Stegostoma tigrinum: one gene and its partner. The protein of the gene in region 1 interacts with the protein of each later gene in a pairwise test. Links are inferred from orthologs where the notes say so. Each region holds a gene or a part of one and is shown in the gene's direction. Other genes may lie near its edges. The genes, in order: ush1c and pre-mRNA splicing regulator USH1G-like.

Region 1 (10,378 bases):
CTGGTTGGAGTCGTGCACATAGTCGTGACACAAAGGAAAATAGTCGTGGTTGTTGGAGGTCAGTCATCTCAGTTCCAGGACATCTCTCCACAAGTCCCTCAGGGTAATGTCCTCTGCCCAACCATTTTCAGCTGCTTCATCAATGATCTTCCCTCCATCATAAGGTCAGAAGAAGGGATGTTCGCCAATGATTGCACAATGCTCAGTATCATTCGTGATGCCTCAGATACTGAAGCAATCTATATTCAAATGCAACCAGATCTGAACAATATCCAGGCTAGGACTGACACATGGCAAATAACGTTCATGCCAAATGCCGGGCTATGACCATCACCAATAACAGACAATCTAACCACTGCCCCTTGACATTCAATGGTGTTACTGTCACTGAATACCCCCCTCTTTCAACATCCTCAGGGTTATCATCAACCAGAAAGTCAACTGGACTCACCACATAAACACAGTGGCTACAAGAGCAGGTCAGAGGCTAGGAATATGTGGTGACTAATTCATCTCCTGACTCCCCAAAGCCTATCAACCACCTATGATGTACAAGTCAGGAGCAGATGGATTACTCCCCATTGGTATGGATGAGTACAGCCCCAACCACACTCAAAAAGTTTGACACTGTCCAGGACAAAGCAGCTCACTTGATTGGCACTACATCCACACCATCCATTCCCTCTACGACCAACACTCAGTAGCAGCATGCAACACTATCTACAAAGGGCACTGCAGAAATTCACCAAGGATCTTCAAACAGCAGCCTCCAAACCCTCAAACACTTCCATCTAGAAGGACAATGGCACAGACACATGGGAACATTACCAGCTGCAAATTCTCCTCCAAACCACTCATTTTCCTCACTTGAAAATATATCACTGCCCCTTATCTGTTGCTGAGTCCAAATCCTGGGATTCCCTCCCTCATGGAATTGTAGGTTAACCCACAGCAGGCGGACTGTAGTGGTTCAAGAGGCAGCTCACCACCACCTTCTCAAGGGGAACTAGGGAAGGGAAATAAATGCTGGCCAGCCAGTGATCCCCACATCCCACAAATGAATAAATTTTTAAAAAATCATCTGACCATTGAAGTTTCTGGACCATTATAAAATACACCTTTTTGGAATGTTTTGGTCCTGAATCTTTTCTCTACTTAATTCACTCTTGCTACTATGCAGGGTGTTGATTTAAAGTTGCAATAAAAATCCAACATCATTATTGAACCCAATTTTCTTACAATTAAAAGAATCTAAACAAGTTAAAATTTCAAACTGTCACTCTAACAATAAGCATAATAACATTAACTGCTTTCATACCCAGTTTTTGCCAGAATGACAGGGTTAAAATTATCCACGATATTTTGCTGGAAGCCCTGGGAGTATTTTAGTGAATTTTCTGATACATATTGTTTATTACAAGTCTGTAGCAAAATGCAGTCTATTGCATATCTCTATCACAAAGATTTCACGTAACTATTTCTTCAGATGGTTGCTTTATGAACTTTGTTTCCACTAGGTGGTGATGTGCAGTACATTATTTGTGGTTAGGATATTGGCATATAAAATTTATATGGTTTTACGGTCAAATGTAATAATACATTTTTCCACTCATACAAAAATGAAATTATGTAGAAAAAGTAAATAATTTTATACTTAATTATTTTCATCAAAACAATTTAAATTTGAGTGCAGAAATGGCTTCTATATTTTATACAGAACTAGTTCTTCGGCAATAATTCCATTGAGCAGAAAGAAAACTTCACAAAAAATGACAGGAAAACAAAAAAGTAAAATGTAAAGCTGCATTAATTCTTTAAAATACTTTGAGACAGTTCCCAAGTCATGGTAATAGACCCAGTTATGGGACTTTTCGGTGGTACTTTTTTTTCATTCATTCACAAGGTGTGAGCATTGCTGGCTAGGCCAGCAATTATTGCTTAGCCCTAGGTTAATTCTACAGTTGCTTTTGCAGACTTGGGTATCAGGAGGTCAGGAAATTTACCTTTACACGCAGATGTTTAGTAAAGTTTTACCACCATGACGGAAGGGATGAAGCTTGGCTGTTTAGTGCAATAACAAAAAGAGGTATAAAATACTGTGCTCTTATGTAGTAACTGGTATCTGGGAGGGGGCGCAAACAGAAAATCATAACATAAATCAGTGTGTGGGTGTACCAGAGAGTGAAAACAGGACAGTTTCAGAAAGAAATCTTCAATACTGCCAAAAACTGAGTTTAGGGAATTCACATTTTGACTATGATGTTAAAGTAATCGTCAGTTCGGTTTGCACAATGTTTCAGTTGCTCCAAGAAGATCCCAGCCAAACAAAAACACTAAATGAATGTGCAGGAGTTTGCCAGAAGGAAACAGGTTGCAGTTGTGCCAGACTGAGCAAGAAGCTTTAGAATGGAGATCGTAGTAAACCTTTGATGGGACTTGACTTTTGTAAAAATATTGCTGCGCTAAAAAGAATAGTGAGTGTCATTACTTTTCTGGTGTTTGTAATGAAACTTTCCAACCTTTTCATCTCATTTAATGTAGTTCATATTTTTACCTGTCTAATAAATGTTTAACTCTTTGTGATAAAAATGCACTTGCAGACTCTTCTGAATGTAACTGAACTCTGCAGTTTAGAGAAAGGGTAGTGTCTATCAAACCAGGTTTCAATGTGAGATCTGACTAGTCCGGTACTAATATCAGCTGCTACAAAACACTCCATTCAACAGGTTCACGACTGATCTGATTTGACCTTAACTTTGCCTTCCTGTCTACCCATGACATCTTTTCACTTTCTTGTTAATTGATACCATAAGATATTGTCACAAAATTAGGCCATTCAGCCCATTGAGTCTTCTCCACCATTCAATCATGGCTGCTAGGTTTCCCAATTCCATTCCATTGTCTTCTCACCATAACACTTGACCCCCTTACAAATCAAGAACATATCTATCTCTGCCTTAAGTACATGCAATGACATGGCTTCCACAGCAATGTGTTCCATAGACTAACCACCGTTTGGCTGAAGAAATTCCTCCTCATCTCAGTTCTAAAGGGTCATCTCTTTACTGAGGCTGTGCCATTGGGTTCTAGTCTCTCCGACTGGTGAAAGCATCTTCACCATTTCCACTCCACCCAGGCCGCTCAGTATTCTGTAAGGAAGCTATCCAACTCAATTTTACATATACTTAATAACCCTGCTGTCTAGGCAAAACAAAATCTCCATCTCCATCTCCATCTGAGTGACAAAAATAAATGTGGAGCTAGCAAGAATCAGAAGACCTTGAGAGTTGGGGGATAAACAGGTCAGCATAACATCAAGGGCCGAAGGGCCTATACTGCGCTGTAATGTTCTATGTTCTAAATGGAGATAATTTTATTTTTAAATTCTGTCCGCTAATTCTAAATGCTCCCATGATGGTAATTGTGCCTTGAGTATCCCCAAGCACTTTATACATTTCAATTAGATTGCTTCTCACTCTTCTAAACTCAGGAGATACATGTCCAACTTTTCCTCTTTACCTTTCTTCTACCCTCACCCCAAAACCACCTGAGCTCTCCATCATCCAAGGAATCAGATGGGCATACTTTCTCTGAATTTCTTCTAATGAAATTATGTCTTTTCTTAAATAAAGAGTCCAAATCTACATAGTATTTCAGATGAGATCTCACCAATGGTCTGTACAACTAGAAAAATGTTCCTACTTTTATATTCCATTACCGTTCGACAAATAACAACATTGCCTGTCAGGATGATAGGGACAGATGACTTTTAAGAAATATTTAGATGTGTGTGACATAAAGGTTATTATGGATATGCGTCCAGTGCTGGAAAATGGGAGTATAGCAGTTAGGAAGTTGTTTTTGACTGTTTCAGACTCAATTAGTGGAAGGGCCTTTTTTTCTGTGCTGTAGGCCTCTATGACTCTGTTATGTATGTCTTCCTAATCACATGCTGTACTTGCATATAACTTTGTGATGTATGTACCGAGATACCCAGATCCCTCTGCATGATCAGTTCTGTGTTTAAATCTCCCCAGTTAATTAATGTGCTGCTTCATTATTCTTGTTGCCAAACTTGACAAATTCACATTTTTCTGCATTGCACTCCATCTACCAAAGTTTTTCTCACTCTCATTACCTATTTGTATACATTTTTAGACTCCTTATGTTCTCTTTACAACGTACTTTCCCACCTATCTTATCTCTCGGCAAGTTTAGCTGCCACGTATTCAGTCCAGTTATCCAAGGCATTGATCAAGATTGCAAATACTTGAGGCCTCAGCACTGATTTCCAAGGCACTCCATTTTTTACACAAGGTTGTGGAGCGCACACAAACTGATCGAAACTTCAGGATTTAGAAATCTGTCATATTATTTGGAAATGCTGAAGTTGTGACTTGTCACTCACTGTTCTGCCACAAGCTGATGTGTGGACACTAACCCACGTGCAAAGCTAGCAATTAACAAACCAAGTGGATGTGGTGAGAATTTCCCAATCCAAAAATAGATCTGGCCCTGAAGAGATAATGGGAACTGCAGATGCTGGAGAATTCCAAGATAATAAAATGTGAGGCTGGATGAACACAGCAGGCCAAGCAGCATCTCAGGAGCACAAAAGCTGACGTTTCGGGCCTAGACCCTTCATCAGAGAAGGGTCTAGGCCCGAAACGTCAGCTTTTGTGCTCCTGAGATCCTGCTTGGCCTGCTGTGTTCATCCAGCCTCACATTTTATTATCCTGGCCCTGAAGAAGCATTTTTGTATTTGTGGAGTGATACAAAATGTCTCTCTTATGATTAACTTAAGTTGTTTAAAACCAAGCTTTGTGAATAATTCTTTAAAAATATTTTTGTGATGTTTCAGTATGTAGCTTCACCCCATGCATACATGCTAGTCTTTAATTTGCTTTTGTCAATTTTTAAAACAGTGACTTTATGGAAGCGCTTTTCATTGATTTAGAGAATTCTTTGGCTGTTCATACAGCTTGATGACATCTCGATGCAGCTGCATAGAAGGATTCCCCAGAAAACAAGAATCAAGTACAGGGTGAGAGAGAAAAAAAGCCAGGGAGATCATTGCACCTCCAGTGCATCTATGCTTCAGCACTGTGCAAAATTCAGACCATTGTAAAACACTGCATTTATGCTAATTCTCATTTGCAGTAGGTATTATACATTTTGATAAACCAAAGCTAAATCTTGGTGAACTTCAAAAAGACAAAGCTGCGCCACTACAGGGTGCAGTATAAATTTGTGATTCTATTTGATGCCAAGTTTCTGATCTTAAATATAATGATTTCAGGAGGTACCAAAACAGAAATCAAGCCTTCTCCCCACAGGAAGAGTAAGAAAATCAAATAAATAAAACGCTCACATTGCTTGCCTGCATCTATTAATTAATGGTCATGTGCAGCCCCATGGATTGAAATCTCTTAGGTCAGTGGTAATGTCCCTATCTCTGGACTTGAAGGTTTAGGTTCAAGTCCCAGCTGCCAATGAGGTGTGCTATATAAGATTTGAAGTAGTTGATGAAAAATTTGGGGAGCAGGTGTTGTAGAGGTAATGTCAGTAGCTGAACAATTCAGAGCTCCACGCTAAACCTGTGCGGACTATGTTCAAATCCCAGCACGCAAAATACTGGAAATTGTATCGCTATATCTCGGCCAAAGGACGTAAATGCAAGTTCCACCTACCGACATGCGTCGTAACATTTGCCGGAAGCACGCTCGGGGTCTTCCTAGCTCTGGGCCAGAAAATTTAGGTTCAAATCTCTGAATTGGTGGAGGTGTGTCATAACGTCTCTAAACAAAGTGATTAAACAAATGTTCTTTCTTTTAAAGCAAGTCCACGGTGTTTTGCTCAAGGAACCTTGAAATAAACACAGAAAAAAACTATTAAGACACCTTAAAACATAAGCTCGGTATTATATACATGAGATTTATTTGGATTGTGTTTGCCTGCGCAAGATGGGTCTTTAAAAAATAACTGAACAAACCGCTTTATAAATGAACGCGATCATTTTAACAACTTAAAGTAAAGCAATGCGGTAACAGCAGAAGCATACATGCGAACGGTGATACTTCACAGAGACACAAATCATGTTTAAAGTTTGTTTTCTTATCTCGCCCTGTCTGCTGTCATTAACTGCAAGCTCTCCACACCCAAAGGGTTGAGAGGAAAAGGGGCCGGTCATTCCTGGTTCCCATCGCATCCAGCCTGCCAGAATGGAGAAAAAGGTGGCCAGAGAATTCAGACGTAAGGTAGGGAGCGAGGGAAGTTGCAAAATTTAAAAACTACGCAGCTTTTCACTTATCTTGAACGTATTTCTGTTAGCGTTAGGACGTTGTTGCTGTGCTCAAAGAAGAGTTCGTAAGCTTAGGTTATGAGAGACTATGGACCCAGCTGTATCAATAACAAGTGGGGGAAGGGCATTTGTTAGTTTCCCGAAAAAATGTCTATTTCCATTCAGCTCTGTTTTCGTAGTGTTCAAACGGTGTACCTGGAGTAAAACGCCTTTAAATGTTGATATTTGTGATAAAGTTTCCGCAATGTTTCCCCTGTTCTGAGCAATCGCTCTGCCCAGGAAACGATCTCACTCAACCCTGGGAGTCGAGCGCCGTCAGAGGAGCAGGGGAACACATACTTCCATAAGCTCTTGGCAGTAGATTGAACACAGTGAACCCATTGAAATGCGATATCGTAATGAAAACTATTTACAACTGCGCGAAGAAATCCAGTATTTTGCATCTAGACACATGTTAAGGCGCCTGGACTCTAACGTATATTGGGAACGTTGTACCTTAACAAAGGCATTGCCTTCCAGACTCTATATAACAAAATCGATACAATAAAATGAAGAGTATTACTGATGTCGCAATCAAACTTAATAGTAAATTAGTTTTTATTTCTCTTCATGCTATTTCCAAAGAAGCTAACAATCTTCATTGAACCCCGTATAATGCGGCGATCATACAGTTCTCAATAAATAGAGGTTTTTTTTTCCTGGCAGAATCCATATTTCCAACCAAGTGGGTTTAGGTCAGTTCAGTTCCTGCAATAAAGTCAATTGAATGAGTGTTTTTAAAAATATAGTTTTCAATGTTGCTTTAATATTTGAGTGATTATGGATGCCTCGTCTATAATTACCTAAGCGTTATGGAGCACAAGGCATATCTCAGCATTGATGCCGCTGCAGGCTCTGTAATAAATGAGGACTTCCCAGCCAAGACAGTAAGGTCTGGGCATTCCAATAGATTCCAGTAGCACGTCCTGATTGAGGGAAGACCAAATAGATTTCCCACTCTTTATTGTTGCAAGTGTGTGTGTGTCGAGGTAGCGGAGTTAGAAACAATGTTTTGTAACACCATAAAGGCAGTACACTCATGTAATAGCACTAAACTATTTAATGTCCTTGGCATTTTGTTCTAACCCTTTGACTGTGAACAGGAAGAAAGTATGGCAAAAATATATAAAAAGCAACAACTGCCTTCATCTGCCTCCACCCTTTTCTCCAGAATTTCCTACCCAAATATCTGCATCTCCCAATCTTGCTTTACTCCTTAAGGAGTTTTCTAATTCTTTGACCAAGCATAACTGCCTTTTTTCCCCTCTTTTTCAGCTTTTTAAAAAAATTTGCTTCCACGAAGTACCTTGGGATGTTTATTATGTTGAAGAAACCAAAGATGTTGCAAATTATATTGCAGCAAGTTTTAAAATTTACGTGGGTTCCATTCCTGCCATCACCTTCTCAGCTCCTTGCTAACTTAACCATTCATTAAGTACCAACTAAATAGTGACTGATTGAAAAACCTGTCTGTTATAGAAAAGGTATGACATTGGTATCAAATTTGCTTTCACTTGACATTGACATTTGTGCACTTCATGTGATGTATCACCCTGTGAGTATTCACTCTATTGAGGTTCATTGTCCAACTCCTATGCTTCAAACATAGATCAGCAAATTCTGTACAGTGATTGCACAGCAATTTTTTTTCTAATCTTTATAGTTTGATATCTTACCATGTGGTTCATTTTACTAACACAGATTGTTAGTTCTTCGTGGTCATCTTTCTCGCAGTTCAGTGGTGAACATTGTGGTTTAATTGCTGACCATGAAATAAGAGCTGCTAACTTTGTCATTCTGCAACTCACTTTTGCATAACCTTTGAATATCGCCCTGAAATAGCAATATCATGGAATAGGATTTAAAAATTATGAAGCTGCCATGTAATCACTCAGAATACAGTGAAGTGTGCAAACTGTGATAAACATTGGAGCATAGAACAATACAGCACAGTACAGGCTCTTCAGTCCACGATGTTGTGCCAACCTGTTATCCTCCTCTAAGATCAAACTACCCTGCATGCCCTTTATTTTACTATCATCCATGTGTCTATCCAAGAGTCGCTTAAATGTCCCAAATGTATCTGGCTCCACTACTACCGCCAGCAGCACATTCTTCGCACCCAGCACTCTGTGTAAAGAACCCACCTCTGACATCTCCCCTATACGTTCCTCAAATCTCCTTAAAATTACGCCCCCTCGTAATATTCATTTCCACCCTGGGAAAAAGTCTCTGGCTATCCACTCTATCTATGCCTCTCATCATCCTGTACACCTCTATCAAGTCACCTCTCATCCTTCTTCACTCCAATGAGAAAAGCCCAAGCTCCCTCAACCTTTCATCATAAGACCTAGCCTCCAGTTCAGGTAGCATACTGGTAAATCTCCTCTGCACTGTCTCTAAAGCTTCCACATCCATCCTACGATGAGGTGACCAGAACTGAACACAACATTCCAAGTTTGGTCTAACCAGAGTTTTATAGAGCTGCAGCATAACCTGACGGCTCTTAAACTCAATTCCCCTGCCAAGAAACGCCAACACATCATATACCTTCTTTATAACCCTTTCAACTTGGGTGGCAAATTTGAGGGATCTATGGACATGGACCCCAAGATCCCTCTGTTCCTCTCCATTATCAAGAATCCTGCCATTAACCCTGTATTCTGCATTCAAATTTGACCTTCCAAACCGAATCACTTCACACTTTTCCAGTTTGAATTCCGTCTGCCATTTCTTTGCCCAGCTCTACATCCTTTCAATGTCCCATTGCAACCTACATTATGCACAACTCCACCAACCTTCGTGTCATCAGGAAACTTACTAACCCACCCTTCCACTTCCTCATCATTCATAATCAAACTCTGATTTTCCAAATAATCATAAATACTATCTCTCAGAATCCTCTCCAATAATTTGCCCACCACAGAAGTAAGACTGTCTGGTGTGTAATTCCCAGGATTATTCCTATTCTCTTTCTTGAACATTTGCCACCCTCCAAATCATTGGTACTACTCCAGTGGACAGTGAGGACACAAAGATCATCACCAAAGGCGTAGTAATCTCTTCCCTTGCATTTCGTAGGAACCTTTGGTATATTCTGTCTGGCCCAGGGGTCTTATCTATCCTCATGTTTTTTTTAAATTTCTAGCATGTTCTCCTTCCTAACATCAACCTATTTCATCATAGCAGCCTGTTTCATGCTGTCCTCACAAACATCGAGGTCCCTCTCACTGGTGAATACTGAAACAAAGTATTCATTAATGACCTCCCCAACCTCCTCTGACTCCACACAGAAATTCCCTCCACTGTCCTTGATTGGCCCTACCCCAACTCTGGCTATCCTCTTATTCCTCAAGAAGGAGTCAGAGGAGGTTGGAGAGGCCCTTAATGAATAATTTGCTTGAATACTTTGCTGGAATAGGTTGATGTTAAGAAGGAGTACATGCTAGAAATGAAAATGCCTCCATGGGTAGGATTAAGGAAGACCCCAAGACACCTTGGGGTCTTCCTTAATTCTACACATGGAGTCTTTTTCAAACCCTCTTCTAAGTCCATTCTTCAGACTTCCTGAAACTACCTGGCTACCTCTAGAGCCCTATCCAATCCTTGCTTCCTCAACCTTAAGTAAGCTTCCTTCTTCTTCTTGACTAGATGTTCCACATGTCTTGTCATCAAAGGTTCCTTCACCTTACCATCACTTCCTTGCCTCAGTGGGACAAGCCTATCCAGAATTGTAGCAAGTGCTCCCTAAACAACCTCCACATTTCTGTTGTGCATTTCCCTGAAACCATCTGTTCCCAATTTATGCTCTGCAGTTCTTGCCTAATAGCATAATAATTCCCCCTCCGCTAATTAAGTACTTACCCATATTGTCTGTTCCTGTCCCTCTCGATGACTATACTAAAGGACTATAGTAAAAAAATTAGAGATTTTAACCTTAAAAATAGCAGACCATAACAAACTGAGTCCAGAGGATGATCCTTGGATAATCTCTAGATAAAGAAGCTTCACATGAATTCTTTGTTGATTTCACTAGCG
Region 2 (9,829 bases), on another chromosome or scaffold:
CTCGCCTGCATTAGGCCTCTCTCCATACAAACCTTTTCTACTCTTGTACTTATCCAAATGCCTTTTAACCATTGTGAATATATTCTCATCTACCACTTCCACTGGCAGCCCATGCTGCACGTGAGCCACTCTCTGTGTAAAAACGTTCCCCCTCCCTGTCCTTTCTAAATCTCTCTCCTCTCACCTTAAAAATATGCCCCCTGGTTTTGAACTCCCTACCTGAGGGCAAAACACCTTTGTTATTCACCTTATCTATGCCCCTCATGATTTTACAAACCTCAGTAAGGTTGCCCCTCCATCTCTTATGCTTCAGTGAAAAAAGTCCGAGTCTTACTAGTTTATTTTTATACCTCAAACTGCCTCTTCCTGCCAACCTCCTGGTAAATCTTTTCTGAACCCTCACCAGTTTAATAATATCCTCCCTGTAAAAGGGCGACCAGAACAACACACAGTACTCCAGAAGAGGCATCACCAAGCGTCCTGTACAACCTCAACATGACACTCTAACTCCTATAATCAATGGTCTGAACAATGAAGGCAAGCATGCTAAACGCCTTCTTCGCCACCCTGTCTACCTGTGGCTCAAATTTCAAAGAATTATGTACCTGAATCCCCTAGATCTCTGTTCTACAACACCACCCAAGGTCTTGCTTTTAATTTTATAAGCCCTGTTCTAGTTTGTTTTACCAAAATGCAATACCTCGCATTTATACAAATTAAACTCCATCTGCCACTCCGCAGCTCATTGGCCCATTGATCAAAATCCCTTTCCAATCTTACATAACATTCTTCACTGTCCACTACATCACCAATTCTGGTGTCATCTGCAAACTTACTAGCCTTACCTTCTAAATTCTCATCCAAATATATACGGCAAACAAAAATGGACCCAGCACTGACCCCTGTGGAATGCTGCTGGTCACAGGCCTCCAGTTCGAAGAAAAGCCTTTCTACTCTCTTTATCAAAAGGTGTAAACAAAAAAAACCAAGACCCTCCCCACTCCCGACACCAGCCCCGTCAGACACTCCCGGGACCGGGTGAAACATATGGCAAAGCCCCCTCTGCTGTTTCAAAACAGAAGATAAAGCTGCCTTGACATTGTAAAAACAAAACTTTTCTGATGAAGGGTCTAGGCCCGAAACATCAGCTTTTGTGCTCCTGAGATGCTGCTGGGCCTGCTGTGTTCATCCAGCTTCACACTTTGTTGTCTTGGATTGTCCAACATCTGCAGTTCCCATTATCTCTAAAGGCTCTATCACTCTAGGGAAACCAAAAACTAAAAAAAAACAAACAAAACTAGTTCTCCCTTGACTCCGTCCCCACCAATCTCTTTTGAGCAGTGACCAGAGGGGGCCAAAATAAAAATAAACCCAAGAAAAAATCAAAGAAAACAAATAATTAAACAAATAAATCAACAACTAAATAAATGAGTTTCAGAGGTTGTGGGAACTGCAGATGCTGGAGGATCTGAGATCACAAGGTGTGGAGCTGGATGAACACAGCAGGCCAAGCGGCATCAGAGAAGCAGGAAAGCTGATGTTTCGGGCCTAGACCCTTCTTCAGAAAAATCTGATGAAGAGTCTAGGCCCGAAACATCAGCTTTCCTGCTCCTAAGATGCTGCTTGGCCTGCTGTGTTCATCCAGCTCTACACTGAATAAATGAACCCCCTCTGCCCCGTCCCCTCTGAACCCCCATGAGACAGGGATGACAATGGTTTAAAATTGAGAGGAATGTCCCTTGCACTGATCACACTGATCCCCATCAAGTGCATCTGATACAGGGGCAGTACGGGGCTAAAATAACAGCCCCTTGGATCTTCCAGGGTCTAGAATCGGAACAAAGGGGAAGTATGACAGACCTCTTCCTGGGACACCAAACCAAAACCAAATGCAAGCTTAAAAGACAAAACGGAAACTTATATTTTGGAGAAAATTAACTAAATCAGAGAATCATTATCCAGGTTGATAATGCACTCCAGCTCTCGCAGCGCCCAGCATTCTCAAACGGCCTCAAACATGTCAGTGTGCACCACCTGCTCCCTCTCCAGGGACAACTGAGCACAGAGTTAACTGCTGAAGATGAGCAGAGAGTCAGGAATGATGGGCCCCTCTTTGGACCCCTGCCCGGTCCTGTTCATGCCCATCTTAGCCAGGCCCAGGAGCAAAGACCCAGGAGAAGGCTCATAGACATGTCCATCCCTACCTGCACCGGGTACATATAGATCAGGGACGTGGTGCTGACATGCAGCCAAAATTGTAACAGCATGTCCCTGCAAAAAACCTAAAAAGGGGCTGCAGCTGGACAGACTTGACACAGAAGTGGAGAGCCATCTTCTTCAGGCACGCCGAACGTGCACATGGTCTGGCGCCTGGTAAACTTACTCTTTCACCGGTGGCATGGGGCCACCGTGTGCAGCACCCTCCATCCCAGGCCCCCAGATGTAACAGGAGAGGAGCCATTCATAGAGGGCCCTCCACTGTGGATCTCTGCTGCTGGAGGGTAACAGATTATGCAAATGCATATCTGGGCAGTGGGTAAAGGCACAGCAGTGGAGAGTGTGCAACATCAACGTCTCCATTCTTTCCAAAAGGGCACTGGGAGGATGTCCCTGAGATGGCTCAGATTGTTGGGCATGATGCCACGAGAGGGTCCACGGTGCAGTGCCAGTGTTGAGTTCCAAATGGACAGGGGTCAGTTCATCCAGACACCCACCGCATGCCTGTGCTGCCTCAAGGGAACGCGAGGTGTCCCAGGTGTCCAAGTGCATTGTCCATCAGGCTCTAGATGGCTCGGTCACGAACCGAAGGAAAACAACCCTCTATCACCAACTCTGTCTCCTAATGTCGGTCCAGTTTTGTATCCAATTGGCAAGCTCGCCCTGAATCCCATTTGATCTAACTTTACTAATTAGTCTACCATGCGGAACCATTTACTTAAGTCCAAGTAAACAATGTCTAATGCACTGTTCTCATCAATCTTCTCGGTTACTTCCTCAAAAAACTCAATCAAGTTTGAGAGACAACATTTCCCTCACACAAAACCATGCTGACTCTATGTAATCATTCCTTGCCTCCCCAAATGCATGATAATCCTATCTTTCAGAATCACCTCCAACAGTTTACCCATCACTGATGTCTGGCTAACCGGTCCATAGCTCCCAAGCTTCTCCTTACAGCCTTTCTTAAATAAACGCACAAAATGAGCCACTCTCCATTTATTCGTTGTTATAGATAATGCAAATATTTCTGCAAGGTACCCTGCAATTTCCTTCCTAACTTCCCACAAAGCCCTGGCATACTCCTGATCAGGTCCCGGAGATTTATCCACCCTTATATTTTCAAAGACCACCAGCACTTCCTCTTCTGTCAAGTGAACTGTTTTTCAAGACATCAGTATTTTTTTCCCTGAGTTCTCTAGCCTCCATTTCTTTCTCCACAATAAAAAACAGATTTGAAACATTTATTTACTACCTCTCCGGTCTCCTGAGGTTCAACACAAAGATGACCATTTGATCTTTAAGGAGTCCTACTCTCTCTCTGGTTGCTTTCTTGCTGTTAATGTATTTGTAGAACCTTTTCACTAACAGAAGCATAATCTGTCTGAAGGGCCCAGGCCTGAAACGTCAGCCTTCCTGCTCCTCTGATGCTGCTTGGCCTGTTGTGTTCATCCAGCTCCACACCTTGTTACCTTGAACTCTGATTAACACACTTCTTTTGAAAAGTCTCCCACTTGTTGATCATTCCTTTGCCTAATCAACTTTTAAAAGCTCTTGTTTCATAACCATGAAAATTTGCCTTAGTCTAACTTTGAAGCAAGGCTTATCCTTTTCCATAACTATTTAAAAACAAATAAGTTCTGGCCACCAGACTATAGGAAGGAAGTGGAGGCTTTGGAGAGGATGTGAACGAGGTTTACCAAGACGTTGCCTGGATTGCAGTGTATGGGCTACAAGGAAACGTTACACAAACCTGGGTTGCTTTGGCTACAGTGTCGGAGGCTCAGGGGAGACAGGTAGAATCACATAAAGCTATCAGAGGCATGCAAAGGCTGATGGTCAGACTCTTTTTTCCCAGAGTGGAAATGTCAATTACTAAGGGGCATAAGTTTAAGGGGAGAGGAGGAAAATTTGAAGGAGTTGTGTGAGGTATGTTTTTTGCACAGAGCTGATGGCTTGGGATTTGGTACAAAGGGTGCCTGGAATGCGCTGCTCGTGGAGGTGGTCGGAGCAGGTAGGATAGCAATGTTTAAGAGATATTTTGACAGATACATGAACATGCAAAGAGATTAGAGGGATACAGCCAATGTGCAGGCAGCGGGACTAGTTAGAATGGCATCAGGGTCAGGTCAAAGAACCTATTCCTGTGCTATACTGTTCTATATTCTATGTAGGACAGGTACGGCACAGGGTTAGATACAGAGTAAAGCTCCATCTACTGTTTTAAACTTAAACTAAAAGCAGGGATTAGATGTGAACTAAAGCTCCCTCTACACTGCTCCCCATCAAACACTCCCGGGACAGGGACAGCACAGGGTTAGATACAGAGTAAAGCTCCCTCTACACTTTCCCTATCAAATGCTCCCAGGACAGGGACAGCACGGGGTTAGAAAAAGAGTAAAGCCTCCCCTATACTGTTCACATCAAACACCTCCAGGACAGGGACAGCACAGGGTTAGAAAAAGAGTAAAGCCTCCTCTACACTGGTCACATCAAATACCTCCAGGACAGGGACAGCACGGTGTTAAATACTGAATAAAGCTTTCTCTACCCTGTCTCCCTACCAAATATCTCAGGACAGAGTCACCAGGGTTAGATATAGAGTAAAACTCACTCTACGCTGTTCGCATCAAACACTCCCAGGGCCGGGACAGCATGGGGTTAGATACAGAGTAAATCTCCTTGAAGACAGTGGTGACGTCAGAAAAATCTTGACAGTGTGCATTGTGGTCAGTGCACATTAAATGCCAATGAACTCATGCTAAAAGAATGTTTGGAAGGAGAGTTACCTTCTTGATTTCAGTTCAAACAGTAAACCACAATTCCCAGAAAGAATCTGTTTCCAGGGATGATTAGATTCTAACATGGTGGTGGAGGTGAGGGGTGGGAGCACTAGGACCTGATAGTTTTGTGGGCTGGCTCTCTGTATCTTTCACCGAGCTGCTGTTTCAGTTCTCAGATTACCAGCTCAGTGAGGTAGGAGAGGCAGTGTGTCCTGCTCCCTAGGCGCCAGCTCTCCAACACTTGAGCTCCTGGGTGCCCAGCTCTCCCGCACTGAGCAACAGTGTGCTGTGCCAATTCCAAGAGATGATGCCAATGAGCTCGCCCTCTCCATGGGGCTGTTTGTTCTCAGGCTCTTGATGCCCCCTGGGGACTTGCAGTCAACACAATGAGTGACAGATATCACAAGGCTGCTCGGGATGGTTACCTGGATCTGCTGAAGGAAGCAACCAAGAAGGACCTGAACTCCCCCGATGAGGATGGCATGACTCCCACTCTCTGGGCGGTTTACCATGGCAACCTGGAGGCCGTCAGGCTGATCATCAGCAGAGGGTAGGTCACTCTGTGGGACCTCTGGCTCCAAACCCTGTCCCTGGGGCATTTTTTAATCTCCCACTGATTCAAAGCATCCTACAACACGTAACGAGACCGCTCGGCCCACTGTGATTGTGCCAGCTTTTTCCAAGGTCTAGGCAATTAGTCCCATTCTCCCTGTGCTTCCGTCAGTAATCGTATTCTGAAAATACATCATTTGCTGAAAAGGATGTGCTTTTTTTTTATCCCCGGAGGGTTTTTGTTTTGTTTCCTGTGTTCCAGGTGGTTTAGTGGCTAGCACTCTTGGACACACAGGCCCCTGGGCCTCATGTCCCACTGCACATATTTCCAACAGAGTGCTGCACTATCAGAGGGGCTCCCCTTCCCATCAGTAAAAGAAAAGGCCTTGCCCTGGGAGATGTTGAGAAGGCTCTGTTAGGGCTTTGTAGAAGGGAGGGAGAATTATGCCTTGTAACTTGTCAATTATCTATCCCTTAATATACAGCCCAAAGAACCCATTGTCTAACTGTTATAGCATGGCTGAGTGTGGGATCTTGCTGCATGCCATCTAGCTGCCACATTTCCTACTTGGTAACAGAGACTTTAATCAGGAGAGCTAAAGGCAGAATAACAAATCCACAGAACTTCATAGGTTGTACAATCAGCGTTGTATAAATCCAAGTCTTTCTACTTATTCATCCAATTCCCATGTCAAAATACCCACACCAGCATTTATTGCCCATTGCTCAGGTAATTGCTGTGGGCCTGGAGTCGGATGTAGGCCAGACTGAGTAAGGGTGGCATTTTCTTTCCCTAAAGGGCATTAGGGACTCACCTGGGTTTTACCCACAGTCAACAACGGATTCATGGATATCATTAGATTCTTAATTCCAGATTATCATTGAATTCAAATTCTGCCATCTGCTGTGGCAGGGTTTGAGCCTAGGCCCTCAGAGTCTCTGGATTAAAAGGTCTACTGACGACGCCACTAGGCCAGCACCTCCCCCAGCTGCTATTCTACTTTGAGCGTATTTTGGATCCTAACCAAACTCTTCCCCATCTCACCTCTGACAGTTCAGTTGATCTTCTTCAACCTTTGAGCATCTGGTCACTGCCCCAGCAGCCTATGGAGATAATTGCTCCTCATCCACTCCATCAAACCTCTCCCCTCTCCCCCACTCCCCCACCCGTTACTGAGTACCTCCGTCAGATCTACAACACCTTCTTGCCTCTAAGGAGAACAACTGTATGAATCTTTAAGTAACTCCCCTGTAGGGTATTAGGGCTGTAGGGGCATTCTTAAGAGGGAAATGAAAAGGATAAAAAGGGGCTATCTTGGCAAATAAGGTTAAACATAATCCAAAGAGATTCTACAAGTGTATTAAGAGTAAAGAGTAAGTAAGGAGAGAATAGTGACCCTTAAAGATCAATGAGGTCGTGTATATGTGGAACCACAGGAGATAGGAGAGTTACTAAACCGATGTTGTGCCTGTGAAGAGGCGAGGGAACTCGGGGAAATAAATACTGATGTCGTGTGAACAGTCCGCATGACAGAAGAGGAGGTGCTGGAGGTCTTAAAAACATAAAGGTGGATAAATGTCCGTGACCTGATCAAGTGTACCCCAGGGAACTTGTGGAAAGTTAGGGAAGAAATTGCGGCCCGGTAACAAATATGTATGTATTCTCTACAGCCATCGGTGAGGTGCCAGAGGACAGGAGGGAGGCTAATGTTGTGCCTTATTTAGGAAAGGCTGCAAGGAGAAGCCTGGGAACTATAAACCAGTGAGTCTGACATTGGTGGCGGGTAAGCTGTTGGAGGAAGTTCTGAAAGACAGGACTTACAAGTATTTGGGAAGGCAAGGAATGATTAGGGATAGCCAGCATAGCTTTGCATGTCGGAAATCATGCCTCACTAACTTGATTGAGTTTTTTGAAGGTGTAACCAAAAAGATTGATGAGGGCAGAGCGTTGTCTACGTGGACTTTACTGAAGCCTTTGACAAGGTTCTGCATGGTAGACTGATTAGTAAAGTTAGATCACATGGGATTCCGAGCGAATTTGCCACCTGGACACAAAATTGGCTTGATGGTAGGAGATAGGGGGTGCTGGTGAAGGGTTGTTTTCCAGACTGGAGGCCTGCGACCAGCTGTGTTCTACAAGGATCTGTCCTGGGTCCACTTTTGTTTGTCATTCATTTAAATGATTTGAATGAGAATATAGGAAGCGTGGTTAGTAAGTTTGCAGATGACACCAAGTTTGGTGGTACAGTCATCATTGAAGAAGGATATCTAAGATTTCTTGATCAGTGGGGCGAATGGACACAGGAATGGCAGATGGAGTTTAATTTGGATAAATGCGAGGTGTTGCATTTTGGTAAAAGAAACGAGGGCAGGACTTAAACAATTAATGGTAGGGCCTTGGGCAGTGTTGTCAAACAGAGAGAACTAGGGGTTCAGGTACATAATTCTTTTGAAAGTTGCATCACAGGTAGACAGGATGGTTAAGAATGCGTTCAGCACACTTGCCTTCGTTGCTCAGATCATTGAATACAGAGTTGAGACGTCATGTTGCAGCTGTACAGAATATTGGTGAGGCCACTTTTGGAGTACTGAGTACAGTTCTAGTTGGCATGTTAGAGGAAGGATGTTATTAAATTGGAGAGGGTTCAGAAAAGATTAACCGGGATGTTGTTGGAGCTGGAGAGTTTGAGTTATAAGGATTGGTTGCTTAGGCTGGGACTTTTTTCTCTGGAGCCTATGAGGTTGACTCATAGAGGTCTATAAAATAATGAGGGGCATAGATAAGGTGAATAGCAAAGGTCTTTTCCATTTGAGTGAGTTCAAAATGAGCGGGCATATTTTTAAAATCAGAGGAGAAAGATTTAAAAGGGACCTGAGGGGCAACTTTTTCACACAGAGGGTGGTGTGTGTATGAAATGAACTGCCAGAGGAAGTGGTAGAGGCTGGTACAATTACAACATTCAAAAGACATTTGGACAGGCTCATGAATAGGAAAGGTTTAGAGGGATATGGGCCAAATGTAGGCACGTGAGAGTAGTTTACAAAAACAGAAGTTGCTGGAAAAGCTGAGCAGGTCTGGCAGCAGCTGTGAAGAGAAAGCCAGAGTCAATGTTTTGGGTGTGGTGACCCTTCCTCAGAACTGGTAAACAGATTGGTTTCGTTTGGGAAGCTTGGTCGGCGTGGACGAGTTGGACCGAAGGCTCTGTTCCATGCTGTATGACTCTATGACTCTATAAGTGCAGTTCACCCCCAGTCTCTGAATCCACCCCTTTGCCATCCCTTGTGCCCTGAAATGTTTGATTGTCTTCACAAAACATTTTCAAACCCATTCACGTTTGTAATTGCTGAAGCTTCCTGTCCCTTCACCTTAGAGAGATGCTGAGGACAGTGTCAGGCTCAGCTGTGATGCCTTCCATGGTCCAATAGCTTGCCTGCGTGCACCTCTGAAGGGCAAGGGCCTAGAAAGCAGCTGCCACTTGCCTCCAACTCTACCCCTGCCGTTTTGAGAAGGGCAATGGGAGAGGTGAGGAGGTGCTGAGTGGAGGGGAAGGGTAAACACTATCTATCACTGCAGATGACCCTCGCTTTGTGTTGGCAAAAGCATGTGTTTACCTCACTCAGGCTTTGTTTGATATCTGTGGAGTCTTGCCGTGCACAAAGGAGGATCTTTTACCAAAATTGTCTCTGCCATGTGGCAAATCCAGAGTTTGGAAGAGAAACAGCTACAGAAAGAGCGGAGCTGGTGCAAAATTGATTTCCCTGTCCCTAGTCCCTCTTGAGTCTTGGGGAGGTCATAGTCCCTTAGCCATTCAACGGTCAGCTCAGTCCTGGGATCCTGCTCTGTACAGGATCCCGGGCTCTTTAGTCTGCTTTCTCCCAGAGAGAGGGACAGTGAGTGCCTGCTGGTGCAGAGAGAGCCACACTGAAAGATTAATGATTGTGACATAATCTTTGTAAGGTTACTGAACGAGAACCAAACACTAATGACTGAGAAATAAAAGGCAGAGTGTAAATATTATATAATGCATCCAGAATGGAGGTCAGTACCAATAAGAAAATACTGGGCGAAACTGTGTGTCAATTCTCCGGTCTCTGCTTAATAATTCATAGACAGTGTAGAAATCCCACCAGTTGGTGTCTGGCGGTTTCGGCGCAGTCAGATCTCCACCACACAAATGGCAGGGACGGTGAAGCCTATATCCTGACGATGTTGGTAACACAGTAAACATTATGGGTCAGAGCAGGGACAGGGAGATCACCAGAGTGGGAAAACATGT

Evidence for each region.
Region 2: the proteins of ush1c (region 1) and pre-mRNA splicing regulator USH1G-like interact in binary tests that used the Homo sapiens proteins (3 or more experiments, as listed by UniProt). The link is inferred for Stegostoma tigrinum from reciprocal best matches to the Homo sapiens genes USH1C and USH1G.

What each region holds. Positions count from the first base shown.
Region 1 is NC_081370.1:23,144,194-23,154,571, forward strand, and holds the start of ush1c (harmonin), read left to right. Parts: upstream 1-6,138; 5' UTR 6,139-6,221; coding exon 6,222-6,257; intron 6,258-6,496; exon of another isoform or gene 6,497-6,604; intron 6,605-10,378. UniProt on the Homo sapiens protein: Anchoring/scaffolding protein that is a part of the functional network formed by USH1C, USH1G, CDH23 and MYO7A that mediates mechanotransduction in cochlear hair cells. Required for normal development and maintenance of cochlear hair cell bundles.
Region 2 is NC_081375.1:53,410,538-53,420,366, reverse strand, and holds the start of pre-mRNA splicing regulator USH1G-like, read left to right. Parts: upstream 1-5,386; coding exon 5,387-5,550; intron 5,551-9,829. UniProt on the Homo sapiens protein: Plays a role in pre-mRNA splicing by regulating the release and transfer of U4/U6.U5 tri-small nuclear ribonucleoprotein (tri-snRNP) complexes from their assembly site in Cajal bodies to nuclear speckles, thereby contributing to the assembly of the pre-catalytic spliceosome on target pre-mRNAs.